2 linked regions of the Diceros bicornis minor genome follow. The protein of the gene in region 1 interacts with the protein of each later gene in a biochemical or structural test. Links are inferred from orthologs where the notes say so. Each region holds a gene or a part of one and is shown in the gene's direction. Other genes may lie near its edges.

The links. The genes of interacting proteins can lie anywhere in the genome.
Region 2: the proteins of NR2F1 (region 1) and BCL11A form a complex in vitro, tested with the Homo sapiens proteins (2 studies listed by BioGRID). The link is inferred for Diceros bicornis minor from reciprocal best matches to the Homo sapiens genes NR2F1 and BCL11A.

Annotation. Positions count from the first base shown.
Region 1 is NC_080740.1:19,650,544-19,660,083, forward strand, and holds the start of NR2F1 (COUP transcription factor 1), read left to right. Parts: upstream 1-4,890; coding exon 4,891-5,353; intron 5,354-7,772; coding exon 7,773-8,300; intron 8,301-9,540. UniProt on the Homo sapiens protein: Coup (chicken ovalbumin upstream promoter) transcription factor binds to the ovalbumin promoter and, in conjunction with another protein (S300-II) stimulates initiation of transcription. Binds to both direct repeats and palindromes of the 5'-AGGTCA-3' motif.
Region 2 is NC_080751.1:26,588,906-26,599,597, forward strand, and holds the start of BCL11A (B-cell lymphoma/leukemia 11A), read left to right. Parts: upstream 1-6,761; 5' UTR 6,762-7,089; coding exon 7,090-7,144; intron 7,145-10,692. UniProt on the Homo sapiens protein: Transcription factor. Associated with the BAF SWI/SNF chromatin remodeling complex. Binds to the 5'-TGACCA-3' sequence motif in regulatory regions of target genes, including a distal promoter of the HBG1 hemoglobin subunit gamma-1 gene.

The DNA of each region.
Region 1 (9,540 bases):
GGATCTGGCGCTCTCTCGCCGCCGCCGTCGCCGCCGCAGGTTCTCCGCTGGAGAGAGCGGCTTGGTGTCCCTTTTAATCCGCTGACACTATCGCCCACATCAAACAAGCAGCCATCGATCGCGTTACGCTAGGGTATCTCGTTACAAGCCGCGCCTGCAGGTGGGCGGCAGGAGCCGAGCTCGCCAGGCCCTGGCTGCAGGCAGGCGAGGCGCGGGCAGCAGGGCCAGCCCGGCCGGACTCCGCAGCGGGCTCCCGCGCGGCTCGGCCTCGGCACCGCGGGCGGCGGCGGTGCGGGTGCTAAACCTGCGGATCCACCTCCCCCGTCCTCCGCCCCTGCGCTGGAGGCCCCGCAGCCGTTTCCCGCCAGGGGCGGGGGACGAGGGTGGGGGTGGGGGAGACCTGTTTTGAATTTGGACTGACGCTCCGCGGGCAAGATCTCAGCCCCGGGGCGGCGCGGCGGCCGCGATCCCCGCCTCCGCGCCGCAGCGGGACAGAGGCCGCAGGAGAGCAGCTCCGGAGCAGGCCCCGCGGAAAGTTCTCCTAGTCTGGCCCGGGCTCCCTGACTCCGGCCCCGGCCTGCAGAGGCCATGCGAGCCAAGGCTGCCTCCCGGCCGGTCCGCGTTACCAACCCCGAGTTCAAAAGAAATGATAACCACTTGCCTGGTGGGACAAGACTTGGCCGAATCTCGTTTCTGGTGCCCATGACTCACGGTCCAGGGTCCGAGGGCTGCTGGGCCCGCGGACCGGGCGTCCAGCGGGCCTCCGGTTCCCTGGCGCTCGCTCTCGCCTCCTCTTCCACTCGCTCCGTCTCTCTCCACGTTCTCTTTCCTTCTCCCTGTCTCCCTCTCTCTGCCTGCTTCCTCTGCCCTCCACTGCCTGCCTCTGTACTGTATGGGGAGTAAAATTTAGAATTTATATATAGAAAGCTTGTTCATTTTCTTTTCCTTTTTTTTTTTTTTTTTTTTTTTGGTCTTTAAATCATGTTCGTTTCACCTTTTAACGGACCAGGAGACATGGCGCGCGTTTATTTGGGGAGAAGGGCGAGGGCAAGGAGCCCCTGCCGGCCCCAGTCGCCTCCTCTCCATCAGCTGCGTACAATGGGCCGCCGCTTGCAGAGTGCATTGACTGTCTCTCCATTATTCGAGCTGGAGGGGCTGCGGGGCAGGCACAGAAAAGCCTTTATTCTCTTTAAAATCGTCGCTCGTCACTAAGCGGTCGCTGACTCCCGGCTTGCAGGCTGGAGAGACCGGGAAGCGCAAAACGCACCCCAAACACGCAGCGCTTCCCAAACCCCTCCCTGGTGAAATTTAAAGTGAGAACGAGTAGTATTAAAAAACAAACCCTACCTCTGTCAATACAGCGTGGCCATATACTCCCACCTTTACCTGAGGGCGTGTTGAGGCTGGGGATGCTGGAGCTGAGACAAACTTTTACGCTCTCCCGAGTCGAGGGGCGGGCGGGCGAGCGTGGCTCCCACCCCCGGCGGCGGCAGCGGCGGCTTTGTCACTCCGCGCCGCTCCGCGCCCGCCTGAGCCTGCCTAGGGGAGCGATCTCAAAACGAGGGGGGTGCGAGTGTGCGATTGGAGAATATGTAACTAATAGAAGTATCGTTTTCCCCCAGTACGATCTTTCAAGGAAAAAATCCATTGAAAGAATTTTCAAAGTGCTGTCTTCGTTTGGAGAAAAGGCACAGGCTGCCTGCAGGGAGGGGAGGAGGGACCCGGCCGTGCGCCTCCCGGGCGCGGCTCCCGTCCGCTAGGTGGCAGCCGGAGCCAGCGATTCCTGCGGGCCCCGCGGCGGGATCCGCTCCTCACGCCCGCCCCTCCTCCTGCGACCAATCGCCTTCGGGAATCGGGGTCTTTCTCTCTCTCCCTCTCTCTCTCTTTCTCTCCCCCCTTCTCTCCCTCCCTCCCTCTCTCTCTCTCTCTCCCTCCCTCTTTCTCTCTCCCTCTCCCTCCTGCCTCTCTCTCCCCTCCCCCCTCCCTCCTCATCCGCACCTTGCCCCATCTCCCATCTTCTTCCCTTCTTATTGGCTCGCCCCTTTTCTCTTTTCCTGGGACTTTGACGTGGCCGCACTAACACACACCCCCCCCCCAACTTACTACTGTTTTATTAATAATTATGGAAGCGTTGTTTGGAATTTGGAATAGCCTGAGGTTACCAAAGGGGGAAAAAAGAAAGAAGAAAAAATCGGATTGATTGGAAAGTTTATTTTTAAAATCATCTTTGGGATGAATAGGAACGGTTGATTCAGATTGATTTTCTGGCAATAGCTGCAAATTCCAGGAGTGTGTTTTGTCATAATTAAACCTTTAAAACCAAGATACACTTTAGACTAAAAAATAGGAACTCCTTACCCTGTTTCTTAAAAGGATATAAAATGAGCAGAATCCACACTTGGATTGCGCTTATATGTGAAAGAAGAAAACAGTTCAAACCCAGTATATTTCACGAATCATTAACATGGTGAGAGTTTAATTCCCATTAAAATTTTTCCTAACATTTTCAATGACACTCTCTTCATGCTCATAAAACCTAATGTTAAAAACTTTTCAGAAGAGATCAAAATAATTTCCTTCTAATTCTCTTTTTACCCATTGCAAAGCGTTCTCCCCCTAGCCATCCCTTCCCCCTCTGGGGAGAGTGTGTGTGCGTGTGTGTGTGTGTGTGTGTGTGTGTGTGTGTGTGACCACAGACGACCCATACTAATCAGGTCTCAGAGTAAATAGCAGCGCAGGGCGATCTCAATGTAAATTGCGCTTGTCAGAAGCACACCCCCCTCCCTCACTTTCTCTCCTCCTCCCCTCGCCTTCCCCGTCAGTAGGTAGCTAAGAGGGAGGGGAAAAAAAAAGAAAGAAAGAAAAAGAGGAGGGGGAGGGGCTCTCCAACCAATGGCGTGCGGGAGGCTTGGCTAACCTTAGCCTCCCGTTTTCTCTCCCCCCGATTCAGGGCTCTGACCAGTCAGTCGCCTTTGATTATCAGTTGCCAGCAGCCCTTCTCTTGGCTCCTTGACACGAGCTCCATATAAGGCAGCGATCTCCATAGAAACGTGTCAGTTTCAATAGTAGTGTCAAAGTTCACTATATACAGACATTCGCGCAGATCCCCTTTTCGGAAACATTGCTCTGCGAGTCCTCCCGTTTAAACGCATTCAATTTTGGGGTCTCTCTCTCTTCTCTCTCTCTCTCTCACTCTCTCTCTTTCTCCTCCTCCGCCTTTCTCTCTCTCTCAATCTCTCTCTCTCTCTTCTCTTCCCCTCTCTCCTCTCTCCCCCTTTCTCTTTTCTTATATATTCTATTAGTTGTTTCCCCCGTATTCTTCTTTCTCTCCTTTTTCTCCCTCCTCCTTGTCTCTCTTACTCCATTCCTGCAGAAGAGAGAGGGCTCAACTTAAAAAAAAAAAAAAAAAAAGGAGGAGGCACCCCCTTCGTATTCTTCTTATCGTTATTTTATACATATATGATTTTTGGGGGGAGGGAGGGTGTTGGTTCCCGGCTGAAGAGCACTTATTTAAAATACTAAAAAAAGAACATTTTTGGGCGATCTCCAGGGTTTTTTTAACTAGCTCTGTGTGTTATAGCAGAAGAAGCAGAAGAAGGAGCAAGAAAGAGGAAAAGAAGAGGATTATTTATTCGACCTACTTTGGATGTCTCTCTCGCTTTTTTTTTTTTTTTTTTTTGCAATTCTTTTTCTTCTGATTTTTATTTTTTCTATTTCGCTGTGAATTCGTCGCCGACGTGAATTATCTCGTATTTTTCTCCCCCTCCGTCACCTCCCGAAAGAAGAAGGCAGCGAGAGCCCGGCGCCACCGGCACAACAAAAAGAGCAAAGTGTGTGATCCTCCTCGCCGGCTGCCTCCCGCTCTCCAGCGCTGCCTTCCTGAATGGCTGGCTGCGTCCGGCCCTGGACCTGGCCCCCCGATACCAGCGCGCCTTGATCGCCGCCGCCAGCCTCGCCCCGCGCCCTGCTCGGCTCACCGCGCTCCCCTCAATCCCGAGCCCAGCGAGGGCTCCCGCCGGGACAGCGGCGGCGGCGCCGGCGGCCCGGACCCGGGCTCGCGCTCCGGCTGCGGCCCCGACTCCTGCTCGGACTCCGGCCCGGGCCCCAGCTCCTCCAGCGGCGCTCGCCGCTGCAGCTGAGGCGGCGGCTCCAGCGGCGCCTGCAGCCGAGAGCTCCTCCGCCGCCGCCGCCGCCGCCGCCCTCGCCGGCTTCCTCTATGTCGGCTCAGCCGGCGCGCAGCGCGTAGCCCGAGCGGCGGGCGGGCGGGCGGGCGCCCGGCGCGGGTGAGCGAGTGTGTGTGCGAGTGTGTGTGTGCGCGGGGGTGCCGGCGAGGCGGAGGGCGAGTGTGTGCGCGCGCCGTGGCCCATGCCCGCCGCCCCCGGCGCTGCGCCCCGCGCCGCTCCCGGCTGCCGCCTGTGCCATTTCTGATTTTGCAACTTGGGGAAGAAGAAAAAAGCGAGAGAAGGGAGCTTGCTCGCTGGGGGGGGGTGGGGAGGGGGGGAAGGAGAGCGTGGCCCCCCCAGGATCGGAGCGCGGGGGGAGCGGGCAAGGGGAGCAGGGGTGTTGGGGGGGAGCCTGAGAGCCTGGGGGGGCTGCAAAAAGAGAGAAAGAAAACAGCAGGAACCACAACAAAACGCCAGCAGGGCGGGCGGGCGCGCAGCAGCAGCGGGGCGGCCGAGGCAGTAGCGGCGGCGGCGGCGGCGGCGGCGGCGGCGGCAGCGGCCGGTCCCCGGCTCGGGCTCGGCTCCCGCGACCCCGGGGCGCCCGGCGGGCCCCCCGCCCCCTCCCCCTCCCCCCTTCCCCTTCCCCTTCCCCTCCCAGCGCGCCCGCGCGCCCCGCGGCCCTCGGCGAGCAGCTCGGCTCCCCCCAGCGCTCCCCGGGCCCAAAGATATGGCAATGGTAGTTAGCAGCTGGCGAGATCCGCAGGACGACGTGGCCGGGGGCAACCCCGGCGGCCCCAACCCCGCAGCGCAGGCGGCCCGCGGCGGCGGCGGCGGCGCCGGCGAGCAGCAGCAGCAGGCGGGCTCGGGCGCGCCGCACACGCCGCAGACCCCGGGCCAGCCTGGAGCGCCCGCCACCCCCGGCACGGCAGGGGACAAGGGCCAGGGCCCGCCCGGCTCGGGCCAGAGCCAGCAGCACATCGAGTGCGTGGTGTGCGGGGACAAGTCGAGCGGCAAGCACTATGGCCAATTCACCTGCGAAGGCTGCAAAAGTTTCTTCAAGAGGAGCGTCCGCAGGAACTTAACTTACACATGCCGTGCCAACAGGAACTGTCCCATCGACCAGCACCACCGCAACCAGTGCCAATACTGCCGCCTCAAGAAGTGCCTCAAAGTGGGCATGAGGCGGGAAGGTGAATATTTCTTCTCTGCTTCTCTCCCTGAGCTTCGCCCGCCTCCCCGGCCCTCTTTCTTTCTCTCTTGTGGGGGTGGGTGCCGTATGGGGCTGGGGCTCCTGCGGTCCTGGGCCGTCCCAGCTTCCCCTGTCCCCGCTGCCTTCCTCCCCCGGCGTCCCCCCCCCCCCAAGCTCGCTGCCGCTGCCTCCCCCTCCCGGCCTGCGCTCCTCTCCCCGGCTCCTCCACCCCGCCCGCTGCCTGCTCAGGATTGTGTCCCTGGGATCGTGAGCTGTGGCTTCAAATCCCCTTCCTTCCTCTGTCTTGGATGTGCTCGGTGTGTGTCTCTTTTCTGCGTGTGCGTCAGGATGCTTGGGGCTGTGCTGGCATGAAGTTGGGGAGGGGTGCTTATTTCCCCCAGAAAACTCTGTTTCTGTGTTTTTTCATTCCACTTTCTCCTCCACCTCTTCTTACCCTTTTTTTAAAATGGGGGAAGGCTGGGTACTGGAGTAGCCTGAACCACAGATTCATTGCTGCATCATCCTTTTGGAAGCTTAGCTTGGAAAAAAAAGGAGTGAGATTTATTGCACTTGTAGGTCTAATTAGGGGGGAAGGGGGGCTTCTGGACTGTTCACTGGTTCCTTCTCCTCTTCAGCGAGCTGTGGCCTTGTTTTCACCCCTCTACTTTGAAAGGAAAGTTTGTGACTGAACTGTGCTTTCATAGTTGTGTCATTTTTTTTAAAGCATGATACTCGTTTTATTTCTTCATCAAACTCCACCCTCTGCTTAAATACTGCATACAAATTACAATTTACAACGGCATTTACCGATCCTTCTGATTTGGCTATAATGCACAGACTGCAGCTGGCATGAGCTTCCACATCATTTAATCCCTGTGTTGTATGGGTTTGGTGTCTTTTAACACAACTTTTGATGTTGTATTTAGATATGCTTCATGTTCATGTGGCAAGAGATGCAGCACTTTTCTTATAAATATATTTAGCCGTTTACAGTTAAAGTTTATCTCCTGACAATCATTAAAGATGTCTTATAGTCAAATTAGCAAGCCAGTCAATTTTGCGGAATGCAGATTACTCCTTCTTGTAATTGACTTTAAAATGATATTTTATATGCCACCAGAAAAGAAATTGAATTCCTTCAGATCTCAGGGAGCAGGCAAATATGACGACTTCATTTCTAGCTCCAGGGAGATTTTGTAGGCATCTGGAAAAAAAAAAAAAAAAAACTTTGAATTGTGCTCTCATTTAATTGAAAAATAACTGCCAAGTTCAAAACTATAATTAGAAAAAAAGTATTCTAGCTGTTATGTTTTAAGAGCTTAAATTGCACTGGGGCTTGCATTAAAATTAGAATCAAAGCAAACTTAAGAAAAAAGTGCACAACCTGAAATAAGACAGCTATGTGTACATGGACATATCTATATTAATTTGTTGGGGGGAGAGTTCAGTAGTCCTAACTTTTCCTAAAGTTGTCTTTGTTTACATGGCAATTTAAAATGCTGGCACTGTTGAAGTAAAACATACACATTAAAAAAAAAAAAAAAAAAACTTTGGTCAGCTTTAAGAACTCAAAGCATGCTTACGTTTTGCATTCAGATGGTTAATGAATCCAGTGTTTTTGCAGTTGCAAGCTCGTGCATTCACTGGGCAAAAGCTGGCTGCAGGTTGCAGTGGCACCGCGCAGGACAGACATTAATTATATTTCCCACTTTTTTCAATAATGTTTGGCTACTGTAAGTTCAACTCTTTTCTTGAAATTTTTCAATTTTCTGTTGCTTTTAACAGTGAGAACTCAGTGTGGTGTGATGGGGAGGTGGGGATAGGGGAGGGGTGCAGGATACTTGTTTTCTGTTCAAAAGTTGTAAGTGGTTAGTAGGGTATGTAACTTGGAACTATTTTAAGGATAGTTCTATAGCATTTTTAGAGAATATGGAAACATTTTGAGCAAAACGCTGCTTGCTTGCAAATGAAGAGGCAGCTAGGCATTTACCTAGAATCACAAGCTTTCTCTGGTTTCGCCTGGTTGTTTTTGTTTTCTTTTGTTTTGTTTTAACCCTGATTTGTTTCATTCTGGAGGGGTGAGTGGGAGTTCATTAATCTGTGTGTTACTCCCTGGTGGTGGAGGGGTTGGGTGGCACTTTCTTGCCCATGTCGGGCTGGGGGCCTTGAAGTCAGGCCTAGTTCTGGCAGGGCTAGGGTGGCCAGGGGCGCCGGCGATGGCTGGGCACATGGAGCCGCGGAGCTGGAGGGCCTCACCCCAGATTTCCCCCCAGGGTGGGCTGCGAGTGAGAGCGAGCACGAGAGAAGATGCGGTGGCTGCGGGAAGAGCCTCCGCATTGTGTCGGGTGCTCTGCGGGCGCGGCGGTGTTCGCAAGCCCCCTGGATGCACATTGCCTCTTTTCTCTCTTTCTTTTTGTCAGCGGTTCAGCGAGGAAGAATGCCTCCAACCCAACCCAATCCAGGCCAGTACGCACTCACCAACGGGGACCCCCTCAACGGCCACTGCTACCTGTCCGGCTACATCTCGCTGCTGCTGCGCGCGGAGCCCTACCCCACGTCGCGCTACGGCAGCCAATGCATGCAGCCCAACAACATCATGGGCATCGAGAACATCTGCGAGCTGGCCGCGCGCCTGCTCTTCAGCGCCGTCGAGTGGGCCCGCAACATCCCCTTCTTCCCGGATCTGCAGATCACCGACCAGGTGTCCCTGCTTCGCCTCACCTGGAGCGAGCTGTTCGTGCTCAACGCGGCCCAGTGCTCCATGCCGCTGCACGTGGCGCCGCTGCTGGCCGCCGCCGGCCTGCACGCCTCGCCCATGTCCGCAGACCGCGTCGTGGCCTTCATGGACCACATCCGCATCTTCCAGGAGCAGGTGGAGAAGCTCAAGGCGCTGCACGTCGACTCGGCCGAGTACAGCTGCCTCAAAGCCATCGTGCTGTTCACGTCAGGTGAGGCTGCGCTCGCTGGGAGGGCAGGCCGCGCCGGGAGCGACCGCAGGCCCCGCTGCGCCTGGACCCGGCCTCCTGCGCCCCGCCGCGCCGCCGCCCCGGCCGGCCCTCGCCGGCCCTCGGGCCTGGCCGACCCCGCGGCCCCCGCGCAGGGCCGCGGCCGGCGGCGCCGCTGCCATCTTGGGAGCGCGGCCGTGCGGGAGCCGGGCCGGCGCGGATGCGGGCGGCGGGCGGCCCGGCCTGGCGACCTGGCCCCCGCGCGGGGCCGCGGCGGCGGGCGCGCGTCTGCTGGGGGCGGAGGCGGTGCGATGGATCCGTCTGGCTGCTCGCGTGTGCGGTGTGTATGTGTGTGCGGTGTGCGTGTGCGTGTGTGTGTGCCAGAGCTTAGCGTTTCTGTGGGAGGAGAGGGAAGGAAGAGAACGTGGGAATGTGGCTTTCTCCTCTGTGTGGCACGCTCCCTGGATGAGTTTCCCGACACAGAGAGACACACAGAGAGGTGGAAAGAGAAGAATACGCGCAAATAAATCATAAATAATCCCGCTTTATTGCTGCCTGATTTTCCCTTATCGGAAACCATTCATGTTTGCAGTTGCCGAGGTTATTGAGGGTCGTAAAAAATGGATTCGATCTAAACAAGAAAGATAAAAAACAAAAGCAATACTGTAGAACCCGCAAGTATGGGAGGATTCCCGCCCCGGAGATAAATCTCATAGCCATGCAAAACATACGAACGTTGAAAATTTAACCGAGTGCCTTAAAAATATCAAATTAAATGTAGGCGGTGGTAACATGCATGTTAACAATTTCTCTTGTGATAGATGGTTCAAATTAACTTCCAGGAAAGTGCATTAACGTTGCCTTTGAAGGCTCTGGTCTGAGCCTCTGAGAACACTGCTCGCCTTTTATTATTGTAACCTGCAAGAGGGAAACATATAAACACCCGGGACAGCAGGTAATGGGGGGAAATATAAACAAAGCCAGAGAGAAGGCTGGTGGGGAACAGGGCTGCTCAGACTGGGTCCTGGGCCTTGCCCACTGTGAGTTGGGTTGGCTGCAGTTTTACCACCGTTATTGGCACTATTGTTTTTAACTCCTCCATTCAGAGAACAAATAAACCATCCTAATAAATCTATCCTAGAGCCAGGACCTCCAAAGGCCAAATTAAAACCATTCTTGAGCAGAGATGGCAAAACCCCTTTCCCAAGGCCTCGTTGAACAGTAAGCAGCGGTGTAATCTATC
Region 2 (10,692 bases), on another chromosome or scaffold:
TCTTCAGCAATCTGTCAACGATCAAAATCAAGCAAAGAAATATATGGTGTTTGTGTATAGTCCTTGGGTAATTCCGTGCTGACTGCACCATGCTAGCTGTTGCTTTCTGAACAAACCAAGTGATATCAGGAAAGCTACAACTTTCTGAAATAAGATGTTAATACCTCTTGTATTTTTACCACACAGTTGATAGACGAAATAAAAAAGATCTGAGGTGCATTATTTCTCCTCTTCAGGAAATTGATACTTTTTCATCAGAATGTAACACAGAATGGATACCTCTGTGTAGGTGCATGAGGTTGCAGCATTGCTTGACATATAGTCTTGACTTTTTTAGTTGTTTCTCTCTCTCTCCCTCTCTCTCTCTCTGTGTATATTCCAGGATAATAAAATACTAAAAACTTATAATAATGGCAAAGAGGACTTGTCCAAATAAAGGACTAACTGCCTATAAAATTTCCTTTTAGACAGTGAAGTCATAGCTAGAAGTTGGCAATAAGACCATCTGAAACCACTAAAAATCATTTCTGTGATGTTCTGTAAGGAAGGGAGGGAGGGGAGAAAGGAGGGAGAGAGGGAAGGAGGGAGAGAGAGAGGGGGTGGGGTGGGGGGAGAGAGAGAAAGAGATCTCCAAAAGCTTCCTCAGCTGAGTTATTCTGTCTTTTATAAAACAACTTCACATCTGGACTGATAACTTGAATTCCACCCAGTGCCATTTAAATAGCCGAAGTTATAAACCTCTTAAACTTGGGGTTTATAATAGAAACACTGACAGACCCTTAACTATAGTGCCTCTATAGTAATGAAAGCACCACTATTTCATTATAGCAGTGTCTGGCAGGGCTGCTATAATTAAGAGTCTGTCAGCGTTTCCATTATAAACCCAAATTTTAAGAGGTTTTTACTCACATTGTTTTAAATCACATTGGGCTGAAACTTGCTGTATAAAATGTCAGACCAGATGTGTGTGTGTGTGTGTGTGTGTGTTGTGTTGCTTTTCCTTTTATTTACACCCCCCCCAAAAAGAGGCAAATAGTTTTTATTTGTTTTTGTTTTGTTTGTTTTTGCTTGTTGTTTTGTTTATTTGTTTTTAAGATTGAGTGTAAAACATTTGTATTGAAAAAATTATTCCCTTGTTAAAAGCAAAAGATTCATGATAGAGGGGCACAGAGAATGAAGTTTGAGATATTTTTTATTTTTGGTTGTTCCTATTGTATTTCTTCCTTTAGAAGTGCTCTCATTTGGGAAACCAGATTTGTACATATCCAAAAAGCACTGTTAAAGAAATGAATCTCTTGATATTGGATTCTTGATACTAGTTTACTTGGAAGATATTTGGTAATGTAGGCTGCTAGAGATGATGAAAATATCTTGCATAGTATTCTTAATTATTCAGCTGCTCTGATATTTGGGATAATCTTTTTGAGCTCACCTTCCTTGGTGGGAATCACTTTTAGGCTAAAATGCACTCTTATAATAGGGTTGCCTGATCAAAGCCTTACTGGTCTCTAGAGGAAACTAATAGAATTTGGATGGTTTTGTTGGTTTCATTTATGTGGTGATAGGAATTATTCACTCAAAAACCATTTATTAAGCATCTCCTGTGTGCTGAGTATCGCACTAGGATGTTGCTAACACAGTACATTGGGCTGGTGTCATTGCCCAGCACCTATGTGTCTTTGATGTCAATGCTAAATGATTTCACCTAGCAGTGTTCTAACCAGAACTCCTTGTTGTTTTCAAAGGGGCCTCTGATTTAAATAGTGAGACTACTGCTGCCCCCTTCCCCATACATTGTTGACTCAGCACACAGCAGCCCAGTCTATAGGCAAACATAGACTTGTTTAGAGCAGATTCAGCTTTTTCCTTCCTTTTTTCTTCCCTCCTTTACCCCCTCCCTCCCTCCCTCTCTCCTTCCTTCTTTTTTTTTTTGGACAGGTCCATCCAGGTATGTCAAGTAGCCTGCCAGGTAGCCAAAGGCCCAGGGAGCCTCTGAAGAAATGCCAGACTAACTGTTACCCCCAGGAACCTCCCTGGGGGATGTCTGTGCCTTTGCAGAAGGTGTGGACACTGCCCTCCAGGGGCCTCCTTAGGTTCCAGGCTCTGGATCACACCTGGAGTAGAGGAGGAAGAAAGGCTATGGGGGTGGGGACTGAGGGAGGCTGGGGAGAAGAGGTGATGGTGGCCCTTCTGCTCACCTTTCAATTTAGGGTGCCCCCATAAAGCCCACCTCCTTCCTCACACACAACTCTTCTTGCTTTTTAAACCGATTTTTCCTTTGTCTTAATGGCACCCTAGCGCTCCCATCCCCAAGAACCCCAGATGCAAAACCTATGCCAAGGGTAGAATCGAAACCTAAGTTTTATTTTTATGAAGATGACTGCCCATTCTCTATTTTCTGAACTGCTATTAGGCAAAAAAAAGAAAAAAAAAAAAAAAGAGAGAGAGAAGAATGAGGTAAAAAGCGAGGTGGGACCGATTGTATTTTTAACCATTCATTCAGTCATTCATTTATTTATCTTTAAGTCTATCAAGGTGTTTCCCCCTAAAGGCAGACAGTGAATATTTTATTTTAATCTTGTAGTTTCCATCGAGACAGACCTTTTAACCCTTCCTTCTCCTGCTCAGCCCGAGTCCCCGCGCCAGGCGATCCTCGGCTCGAGGGCTGGGACTGTGTGAAGTCTCCTTCCTGGAGCTGTTTGTTGACCACATTCACGTTCAGAGCCCTGGAGCTAAAAGCACTTTACACCATAAAATAAAAGCACTGTCTTTTTTTCGAAAAGGTTACGTCTGGAGGCCACGCGGCTCATACTTCATACCGAAAACTACTGAAAGGACTATGAAATCCTCTATGATTTACACTCTCTCACTGCATTAGGGTATAGATCTACTCGACTCTAAAAATACGGTGGGTTTCTAACCGACGTGAATATATGTGCATTATTTCAGAAAGTCTGTTAGAAAACTTGTCAACACATTATAAAGCATAAACCAGGACTTGGCTATTAAGTACGGAGATCAGAGGCAGAATACATACTGCAGGAAGTCCTGGGGAGTCTCCTCCGCGGGCAAGATAAAAAGGGGGAGGAGGGGAGGGGAGGGGTCGTCTGTCGGCCTGGAGTTTACACGCAGTGTCGTCACTAAAGGTTGGGGAAAGAGCCCACCGAGCGTAATTACCCCTTCAGTGGAATCAGCCAAGGTTCGACAGCTCCAAATGAAGTTAACTGAACGGCCAGAAAATTTTAACGCTGTCATAATTTATTACTTTCTAAAAGCCACTTTTGGAAAGGTAAATATACTTATTGTGTATCCAAGTGTGCGCGTTTAAAGTGACCTTTCACCCCTCGACAAAACCACCTGCATCATTAATCAATACTTATGTAATATTTTAAGCCTCTTAAAACAACATATTTTTATTTCTTTAAACACACGTACAAACCCTCCCCCTCCCCCACTTTGGGGCGCTTTAGCGAGCATCCAGCAGCAATGAGGGAGGGGGCGTCGCTCGTAGGGGCGAGCACGAGGGACCGGGAGTGGGGGTCCCGGAGCAGGAGGATCAAATGCCGATACACAGCCCTGGTTTTCTGGACTGGGTGAAATCAGGCTGGGGGAGGGGCGTGAGCGGAGGGCAGCTACTATTTCACTCTGGGCATTTTATGATGGTGAAATTAAATATATGTTAATGGTGGAAACGTCGCTGCGTACCTCGGCATTGGCACCCGGGGAAAGCAGCTGCAAAACTGAGTTTTTAATGTGTGTTTTAAGATGTGGTTTTGGAAGGAACCCCCTGGAATCTGAAACAAGTGCAATAACATAGCAGACCTACTTGTAACTAAGTGCTTAATTTCCTATGATTTTTTAAAAAAGAAAATCAATAAAATGTTGCCAGTTATTTATTGGAAATAACCACAGATAGCGGCCCTGATAGGGTGCCGGTTTTAGAGAGCACACAATTGTGTAATGAATTGTAATTCAGAAGACTGTTAAATGTGAACCACAGAACCTTTCAGAGGTAATAAAGTCATTACTTTTTACACTACAGCCAACTCTGAAAAGCTTTATACACACCATTGTATATAAATCATACATATATATTTCCACAACACACATTCGCCCATTTATACACCTTCTCTATATATGGACTTTTATGGATGGATGGGAAAAATATTTAAATTTGAAAAGCTCAGTTCTGAAAGAATCTGACTTACTATTGTTACCTGAAGGGGCTTTTGTTTTATTTATTTATTTTTCAAAGGCCTCCCAGTTGCACTTTCTTCTCTCTCTTCACCTTTCCTCCAACCATTCTCCTCCAAGTCTCATCCCCCGCCCCCCCCCCGCCAGCCCCCCCACCCCCCGCAATGACATTCTTTTGGTCACTCTAAGGCTAGTTTAACAAGACAAAAAAATAGACGGTAGTGGAAGAGAGATGCTGACCTGCTCTGAAGAACTCATGAAAAAGGGGAAATGGTGCAACGCACAAGCTACAGAGCTTTACTGCAAGTGCATCTTCCTGCCTCTTAAACAGGATTTGAGTCCCCCCCCCTTAAACTGGAGGGAAACAATAACAACAAACCACATTTACACAAACCCAGTTCAGCCCACATCTCTCCTAACGCTGAGCATCAAAACCTCCTTTTCTTACTTAGAGGGGCCCGAAGCTTCGCCGAGCCAGGCAAGCCAGTCATTTTCTAATAGGCTTGAAACTTTACTAAGACAACACATGAATAAACAGCCGCTTGCCGGCGCGGCTGGGAGGTGGGTGCGCGCGTGCAAGCCGGGGCCCTCGCTTAAGACAATAAAGCCCCCCGCCCGGTGGGTGAATTTACGAAAAAGAGGTCCCTTAGACTGAGGAGGGGGAAGAGAAGACACGAGGGGTTGTGGAGCCGCTTGGAGGAGAGGGAAGGAAGGCTCCTCGCTCTGCAGACACACACTCACACACGTCCACCTGCAGCTCGGAGTCTCGCGGGCCGCGGCGACCCGCCTCCACCCTGCACCCTCCGCTCCTCCCTTGGACTTGAGTCCGTTTTCCTCTCCCCCCTGCCCTTCCGGATTTGGAATCGCAGCGTGGTCTCGGCGGCGGTGGTGGCGGCTGAGGCTACAGGGTGGTGCAGGCAGGCAGGGAGGCTGGGAGGCGGGAGACGCCGGGGGACTTTGCAGGCACGTTTCTGAATAAACTTTCCAATCGCAGGGGGTGCTGTTGCTGTACATTTTACGTAAAACTGAAAGTATCCCACGCCAGAGTGAAGCCCGCTTTTTGACAGCGGCAGCGTGTGTGTGTGCGCGCGTGTGTGCATTAAAGAGACAGGGGTTTATTTCCAACAGGTCTTCCCTAATTTCCCGCGAACCTCTGCGGAAAGGCTAGGGGAGGCTTCGGGCTCCAGAGTGGGCGCCTTGACCCGGGGCGCCTGGGGAGCGCGGCGCTGACCCAGGGCGGTCACCCCACCACCGTGGCCTCCCCGCTGCTCCTGCGAGCCAGTCGCGTTCTCTCCATTCCCCATTTTCTTTCCCCACGTAACAGCACAGTAATAGTTGTGCTCTACCAGTAAGAAACATTTTCTTTCCATTCCTCTGCGCGTTTGCAGTTGCTTAGGAGTGGGAGGGGGTGTGTCCTTCCCTGGGACCCGGCTCGGGGACCTCCCGCAGCGCCGGGAGCACGTTCCCAGGGACTGGAACTCCCAGGACTGCCCGTGCTTTGTCCTCTGGCCCGCGGTCCCTCGGTGAGGTGGACGCCTCGGCGCCTCCTTCGCCTCGGGCCCTGGCGCTCCCCTCCGAGTGCCCCGGGTCTGGCTCCTCGTTTCTGTATTCCTTGGCCTCTCTCTCTTTCTGCGACCCTTGGGAGCCTCGACTCTGTGCTTCCAGTTGCATTCAGACCCAATCGCTTGTTGGGGCGCTCAGATCCCCGGCCCCCCGGCTCGGCATTGGGGGCGCCCTCTCGGCCCTCCCGCTCGGGCCTGCACCGCTTCCCTCGCCTTCGCCCCCTCTCTCCAGGCCGCCCGGGCTCCAGGAGGCCCCGGCGCTGCCCTTCCGGACCCCAACCCTCCAAACTTGGGCTGGACTCCGCTTAGCCGCGCGCTCCCTCCCGCCTCCCCTCACCCGCGGCGGAGCTGTAACTTGGAGGCTCCGCTCTCAACTTCGGGTGATTTTTCTTTGCTAGCCTCTCCTCGGGCAAAGTTTCCGGAGCGCAGCCGCGGGCTCAAGGCTTTCACTTCGGCCCCGGCGGCCGCACGCGGGGAGCGAGCGCGGCCGCGGCGGCGGTGAGGGGAAGTGGGTGTGCGCAAGGAGGAGGGTGTCCGGGAGCAACTCTACCTGGCTTCCCTCCGCCCGCGCTTCCCCGGCCCGGGGCTGCAGCCTCCCTGTACGCTCTTGCCTTTTTTTTTTTTTAAATAATCTTTCATTTTAGGGTTGGCGTGCGGGGGTGGTGGTGCAGGGTGCACATCTTGCTCCCCCCACCCTCGCTGCCCCTTTCTTTTCTCCCCGCCACGCCGCCGCCTCTGCGCTCGCTGCGGCCACTGGTGAGCCCGCGGCCCCAGCGCCCCCTCCCCTCCGCCCGCCCCTCCCCCGGGGGCCGCGTCTGGCGTCTGCAGAGCCCCCCGCCCCGCACCTCCCCCGCCCCGCACTGGCCATTGGCTTGTCCTGGTCTCTTTTTCATGTCCAGCCCCTGATGTGTGTCCATTGGTGTGAGCTTCCCCTTCCCTCCTCCCCTTCTCTCCTGCTCGCCCTGCCCATGTTTTGTGTGTCTCTGTCCATCCAGACTCCTGACGTTCAAGTTCGCAGGGACGTCACGTCCGCACTTGAACTTGCAGCTCAGGGGGGCTTTTGCCATTTTTTTCATCTCTCTCTCTCTCTCTCCCTCTATCTTTCCTCTCTCTTTTTTTTTTTTGCTTAAAAAAAAGCCATGACGGCTCTCCCACAATTCATCTTCCCTGCGCCATCTTTGTATTATTTCTAATTTATTTTGGATGTCAAAAGGCACTGATGAAGATATTTTCTCTGGAGTCTCCTTCTTTCTAACCCGGCTCTCCCGATGTGAACCGAGCCGTCGTCCGCCCGCCGCCGCCGCCGCCGCCGCCGCCCGCCCCGCAGCCCACCATGTCTCGCCGCAAGCAAGGCAAACCCCAGCACTTAAGCAAACGGGAATTCTCGCGTAAGTAACCCAATAATAGTAATAATAATTATTAATAATCACGAGAGCGCGCAGGACGAGAAGCAAGAGCGAGGGGGAGAGAGGGGTGTGTGCATGCATTTAAAAAATTTTTCAGGAGAAAAACCTCCGAGAGTCGGGATAAAAGAGATTAAAGGGAGGAAAAAAAAACCCCCAAACCTCATCCCATCCCGAACCATAGCCGTATGTACACTTTGGAATTGCACGCACCTTTTAATTTTATTTAATTTTACAAAAATTTGACTCCTCCTCTTTCTTGCTTTCCGCTGCTTTATTTCGCTTTTCGGAAAGGAATGCAATGATTTCCCCTCCAATTTTGCAAAATAATGAACAATGCTATGGATGCGAACAACTCTCCTGCAAACCTGGGGGAGGGACCTGGAGGGGAAAGGGGGGTTGCTTCCACTCGACGAAGGAAGGAAAACGGGGAGTGGGGGAGCAGGGAGCCCAAGCCTAAAAAACAATTTCCAGGGAGAAAAGAGGTGAGACTGGCCCTCGGACACGAGCGCGCTCACGGTCAAGTGTGCACTGGGAGAAAGTAGTCATCTCCACAATAGTGAGAAAGTGGGATTGTGGGAGGGGGCCCCCGGCGCTCTGGAGTCCGCCGAGTCTGGAGAGGTGCCGCGGCGGCAGGGAGAGCCGGGCGACCGCGAAGGACGGGAGACGCGGCCGGCGCTGCCGCCTTTTGTTCCGGCCTGAGGTGGGTGTTTGTCCCGCTGCCTTTTGTGCCGGCTCCTCGCGCTTGCCCTCCCGCGCCGCCGCCGCCGAAGGGCAGGAGCAAGGGCCGGGGGCGAGCGGGAGAGGGAGGGAGGGCGCCTGGGCCGCCGCCGCCCGGGTTGCGGCTGCCTGCCCCTCCCGGCCGAACCTCAGTGGCGGCGAGAAGAAGTGCAAAATAAAATAAAATAAAAATAAAACAAGGCAAGAGAAGGTAAAATTTCTTGCCCCAAACCAGAAGCCAAACGCTCCTCCGGCGGTTTTCTGCAACGCTCTCCTTTTTGAGTCCCCCACCCCCCCTGCAAAAATCTCACAATCTCTACCGGAGTTAAAAAAAAATACGATTACCCCCTTCCCCAAAACCCTTTTAGTTGCAAACTTAGAGCGCCGGCGGCACGGAGAGGGAGCGAGGAACTCCCTCCTCTTACTATTTTTTGGAAGATTTTCAAAAAAAGTGGAAGTGGATTTTGATTGGGAAAAATCTCGTGTCTGAATGTTTACAAGCACCGCGTGTGCGGGAGCCTGCTGCCAACAAACAGACAGAGGACCGAGCGCGGCGCGGCAGCCCGGGAGCGGGCGGCGGCGGCGGCCGGGCCTCGCCGGGGCCTCGCCGCGCCCCCGCCCCGCCCGGGATCGCCCACTCGGCGCCCGGCGCCCGCCCGCCGGCACAGCAGCAGGCCGTGCCGCGACTCCGCGCCAGCCGGGTCCATGGTTCCCTCTCGCCCACAGCACAATGCCCAGACCTCCTCCCCGCCAACCCGACTGCGAAGTCGGCTGGGGAGAAACTCGGCTTTGCAAAGCATTTTTATTTTGCAAAGCAACTGAAAAAGCGTGTTCTGCGCCCCCCCCTCTCCGCTCCCCCGGATTCTTGTCCACAGCTCAGGACTGCGGGGAGGTCACCACGTGCTTTCCCTGCCCCCCTCCCACCCGGCCTTGCCACCAGCCCCCGACTCCCGAGCGCAGCCAGGCCAGGTGGGGGGAGAGCTGTGTGTGGGGGAGTGGGCAGGGGAGTAGTACGTTCTAGTATGCGTTTTGGGAATGCTAAATCCCGGGACTCTGCGCACCCCACCTTGAGTTCTTGCCCTCCACCCGGGGCCTGGCTCAGTCGGGGTGGGGGGGCTCCTTGTGAATCTATATAAGGGGGTGTGTGTGACTGTCTCCTGGCTAACAGAGTGCGCCTGGAAAGGTGGACAGTGGGCACTTAGGAAAGTTTGGCAGCAAGAGAAAGAAAAGCGTGAGAGGGCCCACATCCTTTCCCCACCTCATTCATGACCCTTATTTTAATTTTTGATGCAATTTTAAAGGACCACCTATACCCAGTTCTGTATTTTTTAAAGGGGTGGGGAGTGCGCACAGAGAATTGAATTTTTCACTGAGACCTGGAACTTGTCACACACTTCGGAAGTTCCCCCGCCCCGGCACGTTGCGGGGCCCTCCCTCTCCCCACCCCCGCGCATCCCTCCCTCGCCGCTCTCCCCCGCCCCCCACTCCCCCGGCCGCGCCGGATGCGGAGCAGACGCGGCGCGCAGCGGTGTGAAGTTACAGCCCGGCCAGGTACCGGCGGGAAGGATGGGCAGTGTTCGCAGGACTCGGGAAAGCCGGGCCCTTCTTCGGAAGGATGCATTGGGGGCTCAAAGGACAGACAGGCTTGCAGTCCAGGCTGCTCCCCGACCCCCCCGCCCCCATCCCGGGGTCTATCTCGGGACACTCCAGTCTGGGTGGGTTAGCCCCTCTCCCCCGGTTTCAGTGAGGGCTTTGTGTTAAGGGGCCGGTTTGGAGAGGTTGCGGGGTCGCTCCTTTCTCATTTTCTGGGTGCACAGAGGGGGCGGGAGCCATTCCAGTCTTCAGGACCCCCTCACCCCCCATCCTCCGCTTCTTGGGATGAATGAGCCATTTGGTCGCTAGGAGGCAGAACAAGATCAAGAAAGCTCAGCGAACTTGAACCTGTACCAGAGCTTCCCCCACCCCCTGCTCTGCGTTTCTCGGCCGGGGAGGGACAGCATTGCGAGCGTGGGGGTGGGGGAAACGGACGGTTAGGCAGAATTCCCTTTCTCCCCCCATCACCCCTTATGTCTTTGTTCTTCATTTTGACTTTAAAAATGCTCTGGCTAGGGCAGCAGAGAAGCACCCGGGAGCGCGGCGGACACCTCCGTGCTTCAGCCGCGGAGCGGCGTGCAGTTTTCGCTTTCTTTTGGGGCGTGCATTTTTGGTAGGGAGGAAAGGGGAGTGCGCGCTCTCCGTCTTTGGGGCGAGGCCAAAGGGCGGGATCGGCAAGTTTGCACTTAGTCTCCAGGTTCACTTCTTCCACCCCCTCATCCCCGCGCAAATCACGGACCACGGCGGCCACGGCAGGCTTGCAGGGCGGCTCTGCAGCCTGACTCTCGGCTCCCCCGCCTCCTGTAGCTCTCGCCTCGGAGCCCGAAATCACAACAATAGTAATAGTTATCATCCTAATGATGCGGGCAAACAGGGTCATTAATAATGAATAACCGCAGCCGCCGCCGCGCTGCGCACACCGGTGTGCGGAATTTCGGGAGAAACGCATTTGTAGAGATCCCCCAAAGTAAAAAGTGTGAGCCTGTGGACACAGAGTGAATTTCAGGAGCCGCGCTTGAGGTGTGTGCGGTGATACTGAGACCGCACCAGGTTAACCAGCCGAGTTTTCCAAGCCTCACTTTCCGTTTCTCCAACTGGCGGGCTCAGGGAACCGTGGTCACCCTGCGGCCAGGCCGGATGGGAGTGGAGGCGGCAGTCCGGGCTCCTGGCTGCCCGCCGCCCCCGGGCCCCTGGCCCCCGGTCCCACGGCCGCCGCTGCA